Coturnix japonica: one gene and its partners. The protein of the gene in region 1 interacts with the protein of each later gene in a pairwise test. Links are inferred from orthologs where the notes say so. Each region holds a gene or a part of one and is shown on either strand. Other genes may lie near its edges.

Evidence for each region.
Region 2: the proteins of TMEM159 (region 1) and GAD2 interact in binary tests that used the Homo sapiens proteins (3 or more experiments, as listed by UniProt). The two-hybrid records come from large-scale screens. The link is inferred for Coturnix japonica from reciprocal best matches to the Homo sapiens genes LDAF1 and GAD2.
Region 3: the proteins of TMEM159 (region 1) and COQ8A interact in binary tests that used the Homo sapiens proteins (3 or more experiments, as listed by UniProt). The two-hybrid records come from large-scale screens. The link is inferred for Coturnix japonica from reciprocal best matches to the Homo sapiens genes LDAF1 and COQ8A.
Region 4: the proteins of TMEM159 (region 1) and CACFD1 interact in binary tests that used the Homo sapiens proteins (3 or more experiments, as listed by UniProt). The two-hybrid records come from large-scale screens. The link is inferred for Coturnix japonica from reciprocal best matches to the Homo sapiens genes LDAF1 and CACFD1.

The regions. Positions count from the first base shown.
Region 1 is NC_029529.1:12,763,213-12,766,979, forward strand, and holds the end of TMEM159 (promethin), read left to right. Parts: coding exon 1-102; intron 103-510; coding exon 511-649; intron 650-1,993; coding exon 1,994-2,087; 3' UTR 2,088-2,812; downstream 2,813-3,767. UniProt on the Homo sapiens protein: Plays an important role in the formation of lipid droplets (LD) which are storage organelles at the center of lipid and energy homeostasis. In association with BSCL2/seipin, defines the sites of LD formation in the endoplasmic reticulum.
Region 2 is NC_029517.1:14,717,617-14,722,120, forward strand, and holds part of GAD2 (glutamate decarboxylase 2), read right to left. Parts: intron 4,042-4,504; coding exon 3,934-4,041; intron 2,810-3,933; coding exon 2,720-2,809; intron 2,028-2,719; coding exon 1,854-2,027; 3' UTR 1-1,853. UniProt on the Homo sapiens protein: Catalyzes the production of GABA.
Region 3 is NC_029518.1:10,749,074-10,753,577, forward strand, and holds part of COQ8A (atypical kinase COQ8A, mitochondrial), read right to left. Parts: coding exon 4,304-4,504; intron 3,114-4,303; coding exon 3,047-3,113; intron 1,991-3,046; coding exon 1,916-1,990; intron 1-1,915. UniProt on the Homo sapiens protein: Atypical kinase involved in the biosynthesis of coenzyme Q, also named ubiquinone, an essential lipid-soluble electron transporter for aerobic cellular respiration.
Region 4 is NC_029532.1:5,465,351-5,470,293, reverse strand, and holds the start of CACFD1 (calcium channel flower homolog), read right to left. Parts: upstream 3,294-4,943; 5' UTR 3,009-3,293; coding exon 2,885-3,008; intron 1-2,884. UniProt on the Homo sapiens protein: Transmembrane protein which mediates synaptic endocytosis and fitness-based cell culling.

The DNA of each region.
Region 1 (3,767 bases):
TCCTGATGTTCGTCGCAGTGTCTACGATTCCGGTGGCGTTTTTCCTCATCTTTGTTGTTACAACAGTGATAATGGCTTGTGTTGGCGTGATAGTCATGGAAGGTATCGTATGTGTGTGTCTACATATTCCCTCTTCAGCCACAAAACCTTTTCCTTTCTCTTTTCTTCTTCCTGGAGTCCCAGTTGAAGCGTTTGAACATTTCTGCTTGTAGTGCTCAGAACAGTAATCTGATAAACTGCGCTCTGTGCAAGAGGAAATCCTATTTGCTTTCCTGCTCTGAACCCCCGATCACAGCAAAGCCCGTTATCTTGGCTGTGCATAGCTTTCGTTTGTGGTATTTGACGGAAGACGTTGTTACTTTGCCCTCCTCCTCCCAAGTGGAGGCTCTTGGCTGTTCCCCATCAGCTGGTTGATTTCATTTTCCCAAGTGCTTTTACTCTGGGGTTGTGGTCAAACACTGAGTTAGATATAACCGTGTCTATATGATAATCTGTCTTTTGCTTTATTAGGTGTTGTGATCTCCATCGGGGGCATTGCCCTCCTCTGTGTGCTTTGCGGCCTGGGCGCACTGTCACTGGGACTTTCTGGAGTGCTCAGTGTTTGTTACATCGTCCTTTCAGCGCTGGTCAACTACTGGGGCGCCTCAAGGTAACAGCCCGGGCTTTGGTCTGTGCCCTGACTTCAAACTGCAGCTGTACTGTAGCGTTGGTTACTTCCTTTATTTTAACAGTGAACTTCTGGTTCTTTTAATGAATGGCTTTCATGTGCTGGGGCATCTCTGGCTGCTTTGGTGCTTCAGCATTAAATGTAAACACATCAGTATGGATTTTGGTGAGAGTTACATTCACAGAGTGCTTAGAGTTGGAGGGGACCTTTAAAGGCGATCTGATCCATCTCTGCAATGAGCAGGGACACGCACAGCTCCATCAGGTGCTCAGAGCCCACCAGCCCGGCCTTGGATGTCTCCAGCAATGGGGCATCGCCCACATCTCTGCATCCTGTGCTGGGGCCACACCAACCTCATTGTAACAGAGAACTTCTTCCTTATGTCTGACCTAAACCTCTCTGTGAGCCTGAAAAACAGGCATATGTGAACACTCCGTAACATCAAAATGTATCTTTATTGTAGAATTAATATTGGTTTAAACATCCTCAAAACACACTTTCATGCACACCGAGAGGATGCAGCAGTGCTCTTTCTGCAGGGTGCAGTACCCAGCTATCTCAGCTGACCTGCATTTGCAAATAAATGGGCAGAAATGCAGCTTTGGAATAGGAGCATGAGTTGTTAAAGGGGAGAGCGTGGGTGGCTTCGGTAGGAGCGAGTTGTTTTGCTGGATGCTCCACGTGTTGGATTGCTGGCCATGCCTGCACACGCTCCTGGAACTCGGGGCTTGGAGGCCAGACTGGGGAGATTGGTTCCAGCTGAGCTGTGCTCAGGCACGTTGTGCAGCAGGGCCACCTGCTGCCTGCAGCGCATTGAGCAGCAGGAAGGGCTGAGGGGCAGGAGTGAGGAGCAGAGCTGCAGCTGCTCCCTCTGAGACTTTCTCAGCGTGGTCCTTCAGCACAGCAGCATTTTTTGCACAATTCTCAGGAACGTGCAGTTTCCTGTGAGGGTGTTGTACCTTCAGGAAGAGAAGAGTGGTGCAAAGTCAGTGTATCTGCATTGCTGCAGGGCGCTGTAGCACTCCTGCAAGGCCTGCTGCCAGGCCCGTCACTTTGCCCACCGGGTCCAGGAAAGATATCTGTCTCCTGTATCAGGTATTGATGTGCTGATAACCTACACACAGCTTACAGCTCCATGTTGGATGGGCACTGGCAGGTCGCTCTGTTTGCATTCGGTGCCTTTTCAGAGAGCTGTGGAGACAGAACAGCTGTGGATGTTGAGGACTCTCAGACTCACATTTCTTGTTGCTCAGCTGCTCTGGCAGGAAGTCAAAGGACGGCGGTCTGAGGGGAGAACAGACAAAGCTGTTCTTTTCTCCTGTGCAGGAGACAGGCGAGGAAGCAAGAGGTTAATGGAAGTTCACCACAGAAGAGTCTGTCTGTCATGGATTTCTCTGACAGCAAACAAAAGAACAAATAAGTGGGATCGTGTCCATCTCCTTCATCCACACTCCACTGTGCAGGTCTGTCCTTTGCAATGTAATTGTTTGCTTGTCGAGCATCCAGCCTGGGTGCAGTTCATATGGGAGCTGAAAGAGCCAGCGTGCATTGTGTGTAGTCACTGTAACACCAACAGTGGAAGCACCCACTGAGCAGCACATTGTGATGCTGCATGAAGGAGGGGACGTTCTGCAGCTTGGGACAGGGATGCAACAACTGCAGCTGAGTTGGTGGCAGGTGGGTGAAGGGGTGAGGGGTGTTTGCTTTGTTACTCAGTTCTTGCAATTTGTATGCAGTGGTTTGGCCATTTTATATGTGAGCATTAAGGCCCAGAACATCAGAAATGCTTTTGACGGTGAAAAAGTAACTTCTGAGTGCAAACAGCCCATGTTAAAATGCTGTGAGTGTACCACGCTGACACTGTGTGCTGTGAGAGGAAGATGGGTTTCACCATGCCTTAAGTGTGGTATAAGCAGTTACACACCCTCACAGCTGCAGGGATGCTTTTCTGCACTCACTGCCACCTCACAGCAGCAGAATGGGGCCTGCCCTTGTGCTCTGTTGTGTTCTGGGGTTGTCAATGGCCTGTTGTGCTTCTTGGCTGTAACTTCACACTTAGTTTAAACTGGTTCCATTTTTGAAAATGCTGTAATATTTCTAAGCATTATCAAACTGTTTGAGCTTAATAATGTGCTGTTTGTTTAACCACGTTGTCTCATTGTTCTGATTTAGTTCTGAGCAAGAAGTTTCCCTAAGAGTTTCCTTAAGGTTCTCCTTTCAGGCAGGTGCACGCCTGTTCAGTAAGATATTTACTGCAGATACTGCAAAACTTCATCCCACACAGAACATTTAAACTTCCCATTGGCAGCAATAGACAGTGACCAGGAAGACCAAACCAAAACTGAGGCATGTGTTCCTGAGTTTCTCTGTAAGAAAAGGCTGGGCTGTGGTACTGTTCATATAACAGACAGATGGAGAGATCCAGCTAGAAGGTGGAACAAAGGCACCTCCCAGGTACCACCAGGTCCTTGGGATCAGCACTGATGGAAGTCGGGTAAAGGAATCTCACTCAAGTCACCCACTGAGGAATCAACACCTTGTGAGCATCTGCCCTGCAATCTCTTTCCCTTTAGGGATTACAACCAGCTCATCCATAAATGCTTATTGCAGAGTGAAGCAGGGACAGTGGGAGTTGGGCCCCACTCCTCCCTTTCTGCCCTCCAGGTACAGCAGCAGCACAGAGGTGCCCACTCACCCTCATGGTACAGTTCCCCCCATTTACTAGAAGTTGAAATCAATGATAAATAGTTCTGTGGTGACATAAAATAAATAAAAATCCTAACAAGCTTAAAGAAAAGCTTTACTACTTCTTGCCCCAGCAAAGCTCTGCTTGCCTTTCCCATCTGGATGTGCAGTACAAGCACCTCCTACTGCCCTGTGAGCAGAGCCCCAGCATCCATCACAACATCCATCACAGCATCCCTGTGATGCTGGAATATGGGACATTCTGGAGCAGCTTGCAGCACCGAGCAGTGCTTTTACTCTGCTATCCAGCCTGTCATTGGATTAAAAGCAAACACTCCAAACACTCAGTTTTAAAGTGAATCCCATTAACACAAAGCCATTGAGACCAGCACTGTTGCTGGAGCTGACGTTCTCT
Region 2 (4,504 bases), on another chromosome or scaffold:
AAGCAGTTCTCACAATATCAAGAGTCAATACTACAACCGCACAAATAATGACATACCAATAATATATTGTACAAGCTTATACAGCAACACATGTTGATTTGCAACATTGTACAGTTTAAATCTAAAGTGCACAGCCTCAATCTGAGGTGACAAAACAGTACTATCAATATAATAAAGGCAACACAATTACAGACACTATTTCCTCTTACTTCATGTCCTCATGATATTATGCTGAATTAATACTTCATTTATTTTAGATTAAATTAATATCACGTTGCACATTGCACTTTTTATTTTCTTTTCAAGTATGTTTAAAGCCAGCAAAACAATATTGCTTTACAAACACAAGTTGGCCACATAGGCAAAGTTAAAACCAAAACTCTTGTAGGGTTATAAATAGACAGACCTGAGCCCCGTAATTCCTACCCACACTTCCAGCTGTAGAAGGGGAAAAAAGGATAAACTTCAGCTGCCATCTCAGAGCCACTGCTAATGGTGAGGAATGGGGCAGCAATGAGTTCTGCAGGAGTCATGCCCACGGCTTCTAAGGCTTGAGAGGCTTCGCATGGCCTGTTCTAGGCAGATGCGGCCTAAGCTCACTCATTTTCTGTCATTTCAAAAGTTGTAGCAAACAAAGACGTAGTCCAGAACTGGGAGAACCTCTGACAACACAGTTTGTTACTCAACCTCAAACAACAACCTCTAGCAACCTCCAATACTGCCATCTGGATTATGGTTGTGTTTAGTTTAGGCCCTATCCTGCAGACCTGTACATTCGTAAGAAGCCTTTCCCCTCTTAATGAAGCTTTATTTGGAAAGCATTCCAGGCAATTCGTGTTTGGTGCAGTTTTGTACTGCTCAGAGCAGAAATGGTTATGATGTAAGAACTTGGACATGTGACTTTTTTGGATAGGCTTTTTTACCACAGGACAAAGAAACCATCCAAATACAACCTAATTTCAGTCTTGGTTAGCGCTGTTGATTGATTGTGCGTCTGCTTAGTTAGGCCAAGTGGGAAACATAATTAGGAATAATAACATCCTATTGTTGTACTGTAATTGATCTTACTAAGTGGTTTTAAGAGCTGCAGTACTCTTGAGGTTTTTCAATAATCAACCCTGGAGACCTACAATCCACGTAACATGGAGAAATGAGGTTCGGGTACCTCTTCAGAATGTATGTGGGCTCGTGATTTAAAATAAGCAGTAATAAATATTTGAGGCACCTCCATCAAAAGAAAAGAATTCTAGTTAATTTTCAGTTTCTGTCCTTGCAGTTTTATAACCCATATAAAACAAAAATATATATTTTATAAAATAGGGTTTATATATATATATATAGATATATATTTCCTTTTGTAAAACTATACCTATTTAAATATATTTGCAATACTGCTATAGGTAAATTAGAAATTCTGTTCTAATACTATGAAAAAGGCAAAATACTTCCACTTTTAAACATACAGCTTGTATACTGTTTCTCACTACCCTCTCCCTATTCCCTTAATTTTATTTTGTCACCATCTGGGGCAAATTTGGCACCATTCGGTCTGACTGCTTTTAATTTAAAGTAGTTCCTGTGTTAAAATTTGGGATAAAATTTTAAACATCTTCTGTTATTCCTCATTTGTTTCAATGCAGCTTTTTGTGCAGCTAATTATTAACGAGGTATTCTAAAACTCAGGAAAGGACTTTAAAGGAGCCATGGTTTTTTTGATTTTAAACTGTACTCTACTCCAACGCCACAATATAGAAATAGATTTACTTTGGAACAAACTACAAATACATTCGCACAGTTTGTGACAACTTAATTGTCTACTTAGAGGTCCAGGAACAGCCTTTCACACCCGGTTATTATAGATCTTGTCCCAGGCGCTCTATTTCCTCAATGAGGAAGTCTATGTCAGACTTAGTTGCTGCTGGGTTTGAGATGACCATTCGGAAGAAGTTGACTTTATCGCCCTGAGGCTGATAGCTCACCATAGTTGTCCCATATTCCATCATCCTGGCTTTTATCACTGGTGCCACCTGCAGTGGTGTTCAACAAGAAGCAGGGGATGATGACAATGTTACTATTATTATTACTAAAAAGCAGAGGGTTTTTTTTTGTTTGTTGTTTTCTTTTTTTTTTCTCTTTTTTTCTTTTTTTCTTTTTTTTTTTTTTAAGGATGAAGAGATGTAAGAAGCTGTTATGGTGAAAATCGGTCCAATATTGATAAAGCAGTTAACCTCCATTAGGGAATAAACGGCTAAGGAATAAATGGCTCATTTCAAGGATACTGGATTTATCCAGATTCTTTGTCCTGCTCTTTAAATTGCTGGGGAATTTCCCTCTTACTGTCTCAGTTTTGCTCACAGGCAATTAGCGCATGGTAACTGGTTCTTCTAGTGCTCAAAACAAGTTGTTTTCCATCTTCTTTTTGTATGGCAGAGTGCACACAGATTACCATGCCTGTGGGGCTCACTCATTGCTGTTTATGTTAACCTCAGTAAATATACACAGGGTTCCAGTAAGAACTCTAAAGGTCAGCTCAAGAATACTGAACTTGGAGGCCAAAGTGGAGTGGTGCCGGACTAATAAGCAGCAAGATGACCATGGAAGTGTCATCTGCCACAACACAGCCAGGTGACCAGACCCTACACCCTGAGGATCATTTCTGGGCCTGCCTGCTGTAAGGTCTTTGCTGCTCGGTGCATGACACCCTGGGGACCCTGCTTACCTTCATGAGGCGGCTCATCCTTTCTTCATTGTCTTCCATGCCACGCAAGCTGGGAGGTATATACCAGAAGCAGACGTTTGTGTGCTGAGGCTAAGCACAGAATAACAGCAGTTTACACTGTAAGAAATGCTCGCAATATCTCAATTGCAATTAAGCTCATGCCTTCTCCCCCTCTCATGCATCATATTCTGACAGCAATGAATGGTTTTCATTACCGTGGTCCACTGAGAGTCATCATCGTTATTAATGCAGAAAGGGTAATTTTAGGCAATTTATTCCTAGGATGTCAGTTGCAGAAATATATCACCCAGCTGTGCAAATATATTTACCCCTTGCTGAGAAGCGTCTAGATTTTGTAGGTGCTGTCCCCCCAGGAGGCTGAAGGGAATGCATGGATAAGGCAAAAGACTATCAGAGATAATTTATAGGTGAGGACCGTATCATTAACTGTTATTACATGACAGTATAATGCAGAATCCAGCCCTGTAAACAGTAGTCACAGGTGGTACATGAAGTAGTCTAACATTTTTGTACATATAATAAAATTTATTACTGCTCTGTTTGATTCCACTAGCTTCTGTATTAATATGCATGCATAACAGCATCTTAGCTAGTTTAACTTAACGTGGGAGCACTAAGTGGAAAGGCAGAATCAGCTGACATTTTGTGTGTTTTTGCAGCCTCCCAGCAGTTGCTTTCCTTGCTGTGTTCCTCTCAGCTGAACATGTGAGCTACAGCAGTTCTGACTGCTGTCAGTATCTCTACCCATCATCAGACTCAATGGACCAAATTCAGGGGTGATGTGAGAGGTGTGGGAAATAAACTGCATAGTGATATGTCTGAAGGAACATGGTGTTACTGCTGCCACATGAGCCCAAGCAGCACCAGCTTTGTGTCACGCTGCAACCTCCATTCCTAACAGACACTGGAATTACAAAATGACAACTGCTTTATACTGTTTGAAAGCTGGTTCTGACTGTGCGTGTTCTGCTTTATCCTGAGATGTCACTGTTTATGTTCCGTGGGGTAACACTATGCAAACTGGTAAGTTATGCCTTGTCCCTGGATCCCCTAAGGAAGAGCATTATCAGCACAGCAACAACACAAGGGCACTGTGTGCGACCACATGCTGTAGGTTTGACCTGTTGGTAGCGTCCTAGTATCTACTGTAGGTTCAGTTGACCAAGTGGCAAAAAAGCAGTTATAGTACGTACCTTTCCATCAAATACCATTTCATACCCTTCTCTGTTCTTTATTTTGTTGTATAGGTATTCTGCAAGTTCCAAGCACTTATCAATTTGTGCTTCAAATCCTGTGGTTCCCTTTAGAGAAAAGGGGAAAAAAAGGAGAAACTCTTCTGTTACCAGACACAGCAAAAGGCCCGTGCAGCACCCACTAAAGCCCCACCATGGGTCACCTATCTGAAGTCAGTGTGGGACAAATTTAAAGATGCAGTTCTGTCATGTGAAGGATGCTCTCCTGGGTGCAGCTCATGAAGGTCTTGCCACTGGCTCCTCTAATGCTACCTCTGCAAATAAGGCCTCAATACTATCTCAGTTCTCAGCAAAACACTGGTAACATCAGTGATGAGGGTACTCTCAGTGATGGATTTTGCAGAGCTGCCTGGGCTGGCACAAAACGGTGTCTCCACAGGAAGATGCAGAGTTCCACACATGGGGTGTTAAAGGCCATTTCCAGAAGAGGGGACTTAAATCTTTGAGAGGTGATGAGATGGGGCTTTTTCCAAGAATCTTTTTTTTTTTTTTTTTTTAATAAACACAAAAA
Region 3 (4,504 bases), on another chromosome or scaffold:
ACAATTCAAGGAGACTGCATTTCTTTCTATAAGGAAACACACACATGTTCAAACCTGGGCTGAGCTCAGCCCTTTGTGCTCTGCCAGGCCCGGCACGCTGCCTATCAGGACAGCCTAGTATACAGATCATTAATAAGTTACTAATTTGACCTTGATTCCACAGCGCCTTTCTGCTAGTAATAGCAATATTTAACTGGGCAGCGCTTCATTTTTGTTCATGTGAATTTGTTCTACTCCCCCGTGCCCAGCCCCTCTAACGCTAAGCACTTACACACTGAATACAGCAACTGCCACTGCAGCCCCATTTTACAGGAGTGATGTTTTCAGTTGTACTGGCTGAGCAGCAGGAAAGGAAGCCAAGAGAAGACTCCTTCCAGTCACTCCTGAATGCCACTGCAAGTGTGAAATTCTCAGGCATGTCTTTGATCATATGTGTGCCCTGCTTGTTTGGTGTTCCAGGAAACTACTGTTAATATAGTGTAGCAGTGGCAAGAGAAATGACATTAACTAACTTCCAGAAAACAGGACAATATGTCATTCTCAGATAAGAGACTTAACATGACCTTATGGTACTGGCAGCCAGAAATATCTCTCAACCTGGGCACAAGTGCCTTAAGCTGAAGTCATCAGCAGAGTGCAGAGGTACTTTTTTGTTTGCCTGTTTACAGCTAAAAAAGAAGTAAGAGGTAGAGGTACCTATGCAAGAGGTTTACAAGAGAATGCATGAGAAACAAAGCTCATGTACTCCAGCATATTTCATAGCTCTGCAAGCTCACATTTATGCTTTGGTGTGTGCCCAATTAGACAATAATCTGACAAGCAGAGAAATACCAACAACTGTGCAATTCCTTCTCTGCTTCAAGCAAGGCAAATCATTAACTTCCAACATGTACGAACAACCTGCCAAACATCACAAGCGCTGAAAGCAAAAGATTTCAAGTATTGTCTGGAGGATGGGTCATGTTTGCCTACATGCACGCTCAAAGCAAAGAAACTCATCCAGCCTCAAAAACCTCAGGTCATGGAGAGAAAACTCTTTGCCAAGGATCCTCCTTTGCTGGGCTGCTCTGCATCGCCTGGTTGTAAGGGAATACAAAGATGCACATTAGCAGGTAGTGTCCTGGGCAGTACACAACCCTTTCCTTCCCCTCCAGCACCAGGAACGTGTCAGTCCTTCTGTGGGGTTGCTTTTGTTTTGTTTTCGTTGTTGAGGTTTTGGTGGTTTTGTTAATTTGTTTCAGGGAGTGAAGAACAGAACTGTAATTTGGTTGGTTGGTTTTTATTTCTCTAAGCCACTCCAGTACCTCCTGGAATAGAGGTTCTCCTTCCTCAGTCTCCATCTGCCCCTCACTACTAAAAAAGGGTGAGGAAGACACAAACTGGCCTTGTAGTACAATACAAATGGCCACAGAGTAAATGAGAGGTGCTGGGTACTTGTAAGTTACTTGTAAGATTTCTAACTGCAAAAGCTTATCCTTCTTATCAGTTCCTTCTCATCACTGGACATAATCTAAACATAAACATATGAGTCAAACCACACAGAGCAGCCGAAGACCACGCAGCCTGCAGTAACTCCTGCAATAATTCTAACAGCTTCACACTTTGCAGCGCGCCACCAAAACGTTTCACTGATAAGAATCAAGTGCCTTGAACCATAAGCCTAAAATGATCTGACATTTTCTAGGGAAGAACACCATGTACTTTTTATGCCATAAAGCATTCACCCACACGGTACCACTCTATAATACTGCAGCCTACCAAAGCATAAGTGTAGGAAACAGCCACCATAATGCAGCCAGGTATAACTAACCAATGTCCCAACATTCAAAATAATACAGCTTTTCAAACAGTGATGCAAGCCGTCAGTGGCTGCAGGGGAATAAAGAGAAAGGGTGAGGATGCAGAAAGAACTTACCACTACGTTCTTCAGGTCTAAGGCTCTTCTTTGCAACTTCTGCCAACGCCCCAATGCCGAGACCAACAGCTAAACCTTTAAAATAAGAGGCAGGTCAGAGTGAAAATACCACAACTGCTGAGCAAATATCTTTTGCACTTGAAATGCAGTCATCTTCAACCAGATCCAACATACAAACAGTTAATGGGAGCAGAGAGCATCAGGAGCCACACAACAATACAATGAAGATGTATCTCACCAACTAATATTAGGGACAGAAAAGAAACAGCAAGTCACCTACAGTACTTTTCCTATTGGCCTTGGCTCCACACACTAAGCAATGTTTTGGACTGCAATGAACTATAAATGAAGCTACCAGCAGTCACCCCAGCTGCAGCAAGCAATGTATGAAAATGCAGATAGGTAACAAAGTCCAGCAGTGCCTCACACTGATCACAGAGAAACAGGAGCTCAGCAGGGAGAGCAAAAAAAGCACTGAAGGAAAAAAAGATCCTTAATTGTTCCAGCAGTGTGTTCTTTATTCCCAGAACTCTGCTGTCCACGTAATTGTGCCTCCAGTTACTAATATGCTCATCACCCCGCAATGTCTCAATGCCACAGCAGAGAGAGCAACGGTCCCCAGTGCATCTGGGAGCAATGAAAAAACATGTAAAGAAATAAACAAGGAGGAATAATTCAAGTGTGAGGGCCACAGTGCCAAGAGTATGAGAATTCAGCTTTCTGAACCCCAGGAACAGTTAAATGAAAGCTGCTTTTGACCTTCTCAGCATTCTATTTTAACTTACTTGATCTTGAGCACAAAAAAAAACAACTGAAATCAAGTGAGGACTTCCAGTAGCAAAGGGAGACACACAAGTACTACCTTGCTCAGCAGTTAGATATGATAAAAGAGCAACAGAGACGGATGAAAAATGTAACTTCTTTCTGACTAAAGGCTGAGAGCCGTAATGGTAATGAAAAATCCCAAATCAAGCTCTGGAGCCAAACCATTTGTTTGTGAGAAAGCACTTGCCTATCAGCAAGCTGAACACAAAAATGGAACCACCTTCTGCTTTAGCTGGGGCGCTTTCACAACCAGCCATCAGCCTGCTCAGCTGTGGTGCCTTTGCAGATGTAGGTGTGCAAACTCACCTCCAAAGTTGGCGAGCCGCCCGATCCTTGTGACAGGAACCTTCCGCTCCCGGGCCCGTTCACTGAGCTGCCACGGAAAGACAGGGCAAGGAGAACAAACAAACAAGTCAGTTACCTGCAAACAGAGCGTGACTCCAAAAAACACTTGAAGAGCGTATCTGTGCTACAGAAAGCTCTTCTTGAACGGCAAGCCAAATATACAGTGGCAGATCTTCAAGCGAGAACACTGCAAAAATACAGCTACCAAACACATTAAGCCAAGAAATGGACAAGAGAGTGGGAAAGACAGAAAAGCTGATAGCCATGTTTAGAAAGTCCACGTTTGCTTTTAACTTAACAGCCCTTAAATTTTGAACTCGGAGAAGCGCTGAAATATCAACCAATGCTAAACTCTCTTCTACACACGCAGTTAAAAATCTTGGCAAGTCATCAGATCAATGGGACTGCAGATAATTTCCCCACAAAACAGCCAAAGCAGAAGCATACAGTACCACTGAAGCAATACCCTGAGTAAGCAAACCCACAGCAGCATCTGATAGTGGGTTTGAAGGAGGCAAGTTAGAGCAGGAGGCAAGCATCTCCACTGTGAATTCTACTGTGGGTTCTTGGTGTTGGCTCCCACAAGGACATAGATCACAACTGTTGCTTCAGGGCTCTATGCTACTCTCTAATCTACTAATGCTGAGGACAACATTCCATCCACTTCTGAGGACAACAAGATATAGCACAGGAAGCCATAGTCTTTGCTGAGTAAAGTGTAGATCCAATCCATTCATCATGGCCATAGCAAGACCATTAGCTAAAGGAGACAGAGCCCTTCAAGAAGACAGACCCTTTGGGGCAGCCTTCAAAGCATTGTAGCCTACAAACAGTCCACATCCTCTCAACACTTCAGTTAAACTGTGATAAAACACAGATCCTTCATTACTGTAACCTGCATCAACACACTGAGTCCACACAGTCCAATGAATGAAAGGAGAACTCCTGTCAACACCAAGTTTAAGCCTAACCCTACATAGGCATTTTAAACATCCTCTCACATCAGAATGTTGGATATATAAGAGGTAGATGTGAAAGGAGATCCTGTCATAGAAACCTGGGTTAAGAAGCACTGACACTTGTATCTTTTCCTCTCCATAAGGGAATTTCAGAAGGGGAAAAAATAATAGAAACATGGGAGGAGGTGACTTATGGATAATCCAGAACAGTAACAAGAACCTATAATTATAAAAAATCCACACACAAACATACACGTACCATCTGTTTGTACGGTTTCTGCTCAGTTTTGGCCTGTCTGGCTTTATCAATATCTTCAGCTGTTAATCCACCAACAGAGGAATGATCTTGGTGAAAAGCCCTGTTTTGTCCAAAGACAGCAGCAAAAGGATTTCCAGGGTCCCTAAAGCCTCCAAATAACCTTGCATCCATTTTGGGAGGGAAAGGCTTCTGACCCAGACC
Region 4 (4,943 bases), on another chromosome or scaffold:
AAGCCCATCACAGCCGCACGCTGCCAGTTCTGTGCATCACTACTAGAGATGGGCCAAAAACAGCCAAGTCTGGGTCTCCACTTACTCAAAGTGGAAGTGGATGCTGGCTAAAGCCAGGCTCTAAATAGCTCCTGTGCTCCTGAATTTGTAATGCAAGGAGGGGAACCAGCCAGCAGCATCCACACACCTACCTCCCGCCTCATTAAACTTGCAAAGCGTTTCCTGCACTTGATATCGCTGCTCACCCAGGAACCTGAGTCCCCAGTAAACAACAGCACAAAGTGCCAGCTAAAATCTTTAAGCAGCCCTGGGATGTGGAGCTGAACTACAAAGAGAGGAAGTTTTCTTCTTCTAAGCAGTCACTGCTGGATCCTCAAGGTTCCCTTATTGACCATACTGAGCTGCATGTAAAGGCCAGGATCACTGTGAGGTCACCCCACAAGCAGACTCCTATTTCTGCAAAACAACACCATCACTGCTCTTATTCTTTAAAGGATTCCTAGGTCTATCCAACAGAACTCAAGGAGTCCTGCAAGGGCAAGGTTCTAACAGAGCAGAAATACAAGAGAACATGGTGCCAGCCTCAAACACCCCAAAACACCCCTGAGCATTAAAGGTCCTTGCAGGAACCCCAGCTAAAAGCTCACTGCGTTTGCCAATGGACCCAGCAAACCTGAGCTGAGCAAGTCCATACGTCAGCACAAACACCAACCAGAGGGGAAGGAGTCAGAGCTTTGTAAGCACAGGAACACACTGCGCTCGATGGCGGCTGCCAACAGCCAGAGATAACGATTCAGTGACCTTCGTTCTCCTTTGCAGCACAACGCATCCCACAGCAGCCTGGCACTTCCTGGTCCCGCTGGGCAGTATCAGCTCCTGCCTCCATAAGCCAAAAGGGGACGGAGCTGCCAACTCAGTGACGACTTCTTGCAAAACAAAGGCTCAGAAGAGGCATAAAATTTAGATATCGCTCGATGGCACGTAAGCTATGGGAGGCAGCCCTGCTATTTGTTTAATTGCTGTCCCATCCCGAAAGCCCCGGGGAAGAACAAATAACTGGGAGCTAAAATGAAGAAGGAAAAAAAAAAGAATGCCCCCCACAATGACTCTATTCATCCCAAGCAGCTGCTCAGTGCCTTCAGTGCAACACTATTTTTGCTCCTGGAGCATTATACAAAAGCCACAGGCTCTCATCCTTTTATAAGAGGGAACAGAAGGGGGAGAAGGGACTCAGCCAAGGTCACCAAGCAGCCTGGATGGATGGAGGATCTGGACAGCCCTCATGGAGGTTCCTGATGCCCTGAATGACTGGCAGCCTTAAGGATGGCTGCTCTGCTCAGAGACACCCACAGATGTAAAACTGTTTGAAAAGAAGCCAGGAGTTCAGCAAAGCTGTGAAGGAAAGGTTGCAAATAGAATCCAAGCAGAACTCAGCTGCTTCAAAAGCTGAAGATAGAAGAAAAAGAACCTGTTTTCAAAGTGCTGTGCTGCTGCTAAGCCAGGGTTGAGCTGCTTTGGCACAAGGGGTGGGCCAAGAGCTGCAATCTTGGACCCCATATCTTCACCCTACATGGGTGATGAGACCCTGGTTGCAACCCCAGCCCATAGCAAAGCTGCTACTCTGGGAGCTGCCCTCCAACGTGTCCCATCCAGCCTCCTGCCTCCATTATAGGTGTGGGGCCTCCACCAAAGGCATGGGGTCTGTAGCTGGTGCATTTCACCTCCTAAGAGCAGCCCTTTTTATGCCTCTTTCAGCACCTCAGACATAACATATTGAGAGCAGCATTCAGCCACCAAGGGCTGCAGGAGGCTGCATGGCAATGCCTCAGGGTATAGGGCTGGGTATCCAGCCTGGTCTGGCTCCATCAGGTGTCAAGGCAGGAGACAAGCACAGTGATGGTCAGGACCAGCCAAAACACTGCAGCAGAGGGAATAGATCTGGGCTGACTGTCCTGGCTGAGAAACACTCTTGTTTTAACACTCAAGTCATGGACCCGAAGCAGAAGTTCTCCATCCTGTGCTCTGCAGGAGATCAGACTAAGCAGTCATAACAGTCCCTCCTACTTTTAAGAGCTATTAATCTCCCCACAGAACACAGCTGATTCCTGGCAAAGGTGCAAAAACTCTTTCCCTGGGAAAATGTTCATCAGCAGCAGGTAATTCCCAGCCAGCCAACTCGCTTTGCTGTGCTCTGTCTCCCATCTTCTGCACGTCCAAGACTTAAACCCCTTAGAAAACAAACAGTGCAAACCCAGTTTGTTATTTGCCTTCAAAAATAGACACAGCCAGGGCCCCCTGTGATAAACAGCAGGAGGAATGGGAAACGTGGTCTGATACTCAAAGCAGGGTAAGAAAATAAGCAGAAGGAACATGTGAACACCTGACAGTCCAATAGGATGAATTAAATCCTGTGGCCCCAGTTCAAGCCCTGCACCTGATCCTACTGAGCCTGATGCTCGTTGTTGAAACACTGTCTGCTTTATCTGCCCACAGCCATCCCGCAGGACCGGGGTTTGGCTGCTGCTTCCATCACTCGTGCTGATGGGAGATGATCGTTATCCAATAGGAAACTCGAGGTTTTGCAGACCCCCCACCCCATGCCGTCTCTTCTCCCAGGTGCTGCAGTTGAGCAAGCACAAAGCGCATCACTCACATGCAAACCAACATCACCCTGCTTTAGGCACGCCCACAGCTCTTCCTTCTGCCCAAAACACAGCAAACCACACGTGTAAGGAAGGTTACAAACCTGCAACACCCACAGATTATTTCAGGGCCCGCCTCCCCATGCACAGACCCGACCCAACCAGCAGCAGCACGACACCCTGACTTACGCTTTTGCATGCATGCAATGGGGAACAGCTGGCTGTAAGGAGGGGATACTTACACACGCCCCCGATGACCCCGGCAATCCTGCAGAGCCACCTGTACCACCAGGTCATGCCATCATCACTGGAGGAAGATGCTGACTCAGGGGCTGCTGCTTGGAACTGCTCATCCTGAGAGCTCATGGCCCCGCTGCTGCTGCTGAGGGATCAAAGGGCAGCTCCCCGCTCCCCACCTGAACCCCAGCAGCGCAGGACGCCCCCTTTAAATGACACCCCCTCTCTAGAACGAGCAGGAGGCGGCTCCTAACCCAGCACTGCTGCTGCTGGGTCTCTCCTCGTACCCCCATACAGGGCCGGGCCCCCCCAGGGCTGACAATAGAGGGTTTCTGACCGCAGCAGCGATGCCAGCAGCCGTGGGATCAGCCTCCACGTCTCCCTGCCTATTGCATTGTGGGTCCCCTCCTCCAGCAGGGAGGGCTTTGATGTCACGCTCATTAAAAAGCCAGTGGGCAGAGCCCGGCGTGTGCATGTTCATTGGGAGCAGCGGGATGGGAGGCACGCTGAGCTTACGGGATAAGGGCAGGTGGCTGCATGGGAATGCAGCAGCAATGAGCCCTAAACTCTCCTCCCAGAGCGAGATCTGAACGCACAAACTTCTGCATGGAAGTTTGGTCTGATAATGCAGCTCCTTTACTCTCATTATAGAGGGAGGTGGTGAAGAAATTGTGCCCTCGAGGCAAGAGGGAACCATTCCCCTTGATCTGAATGGAAATGGGCTTTTCTGACCTAGAAACTGGGAGCTAAAGTAGGACTTTGCAGATCAGAGATGTCCCAGTTGGCAGCGTGCTGGTATCCAAACAGCTGGTACAGTGAGACAGCATTGATTCTCTTAAATCATCAAAGCAACAGCTGTACATTTTGCCTGTGAACATGGAGAGTGCAGCCAGTAATCAGAGCCCATCTCTGCAGACCAGAAACTCCACATAGTTGATCTGGAACAATAAATAGCAATGAGAATTGGGATCCAGAGCTGAGGGGGAAGACGGATCCCATCTGCTGAAAGGTTACGAAGAAGAATGAACAAAAGGATTTCTTCTTTATTTCATTACTGTTACGTCTCTGGTTAGGCAGGAAATAAAGGCCCAGTGCCTGCATCACCCACACACTGCAGTGGGACAGCTGATATATTCAGCTCCTCAAGAATCTACTTTCTTGCTCTTCCAGGAACAGAACGTAAATCTGAAGGCTGGCAAGCAAAAAACCCAAACAAATCTGGGCAGAACTAGCAAAAATAATCACTAAGAAGACAGGAGAAAATAAGGTTTTGTGGCTGTAAAAAGACATCAGAGAATTCAATGGAAAGAAAGCAGAGGTAGCATTAAAACGTCTCAAGCAGAACCATTTATCTACCATGAAGTGTAGGCAGGTAGGTCCAGGCAGGCTCAAGGTTTGGAATAGACCTCTTTTGTAGGACATTGAGATGTTGATGAGGATGATAGATTGGTACCAAGATAGGGAACTGCTGAACAGGTTAAAAACATTAAATAAAAAGAACTTCAAATATATATTTAAGTCAATCTTGGGTGAATATTTACCGCTGCTCTAAAACACATCTTCCTGCTATTGTTTGTATCACACGGTCTCAACAGCTGCTCTTGACACAGTTCCTGTCCCATGGAGATACAAGTAGATTATTTGCACAGCTACTGTTTTATCTGAAGAAATATCTCTCGGCATCAAACTCATCATTAAGAGACAGGATTCTTTTATTTTCCCATAGAAAAGAAGTATTAGCACCACTGTTAGCTATGTAAAAGCAGAATCCTAGATGTGGTGAGCTGGGAGAGACCCTCTGGAGGTCATTTACTCCTCCCACACAAAGCCAATTGCCACCAGTCCTTGTTCAGGTTAGCAAAGACCTGAAAATAGTCCATGATGGAGATTCCATCAGCATTCTAGGTGACTTTTCCTAGTGTTGTACTACCCTTATGGTCAAAGAAAGCCGATTGCCTTCATACATTTCTCAAGCTGCTACAACTCAGGAGGACAAACCTTCTTACGCATCTTTGCCTTCTTTTTAATCTTCCAGAATTTCAATGGGCTTCATTTTCAATGGAC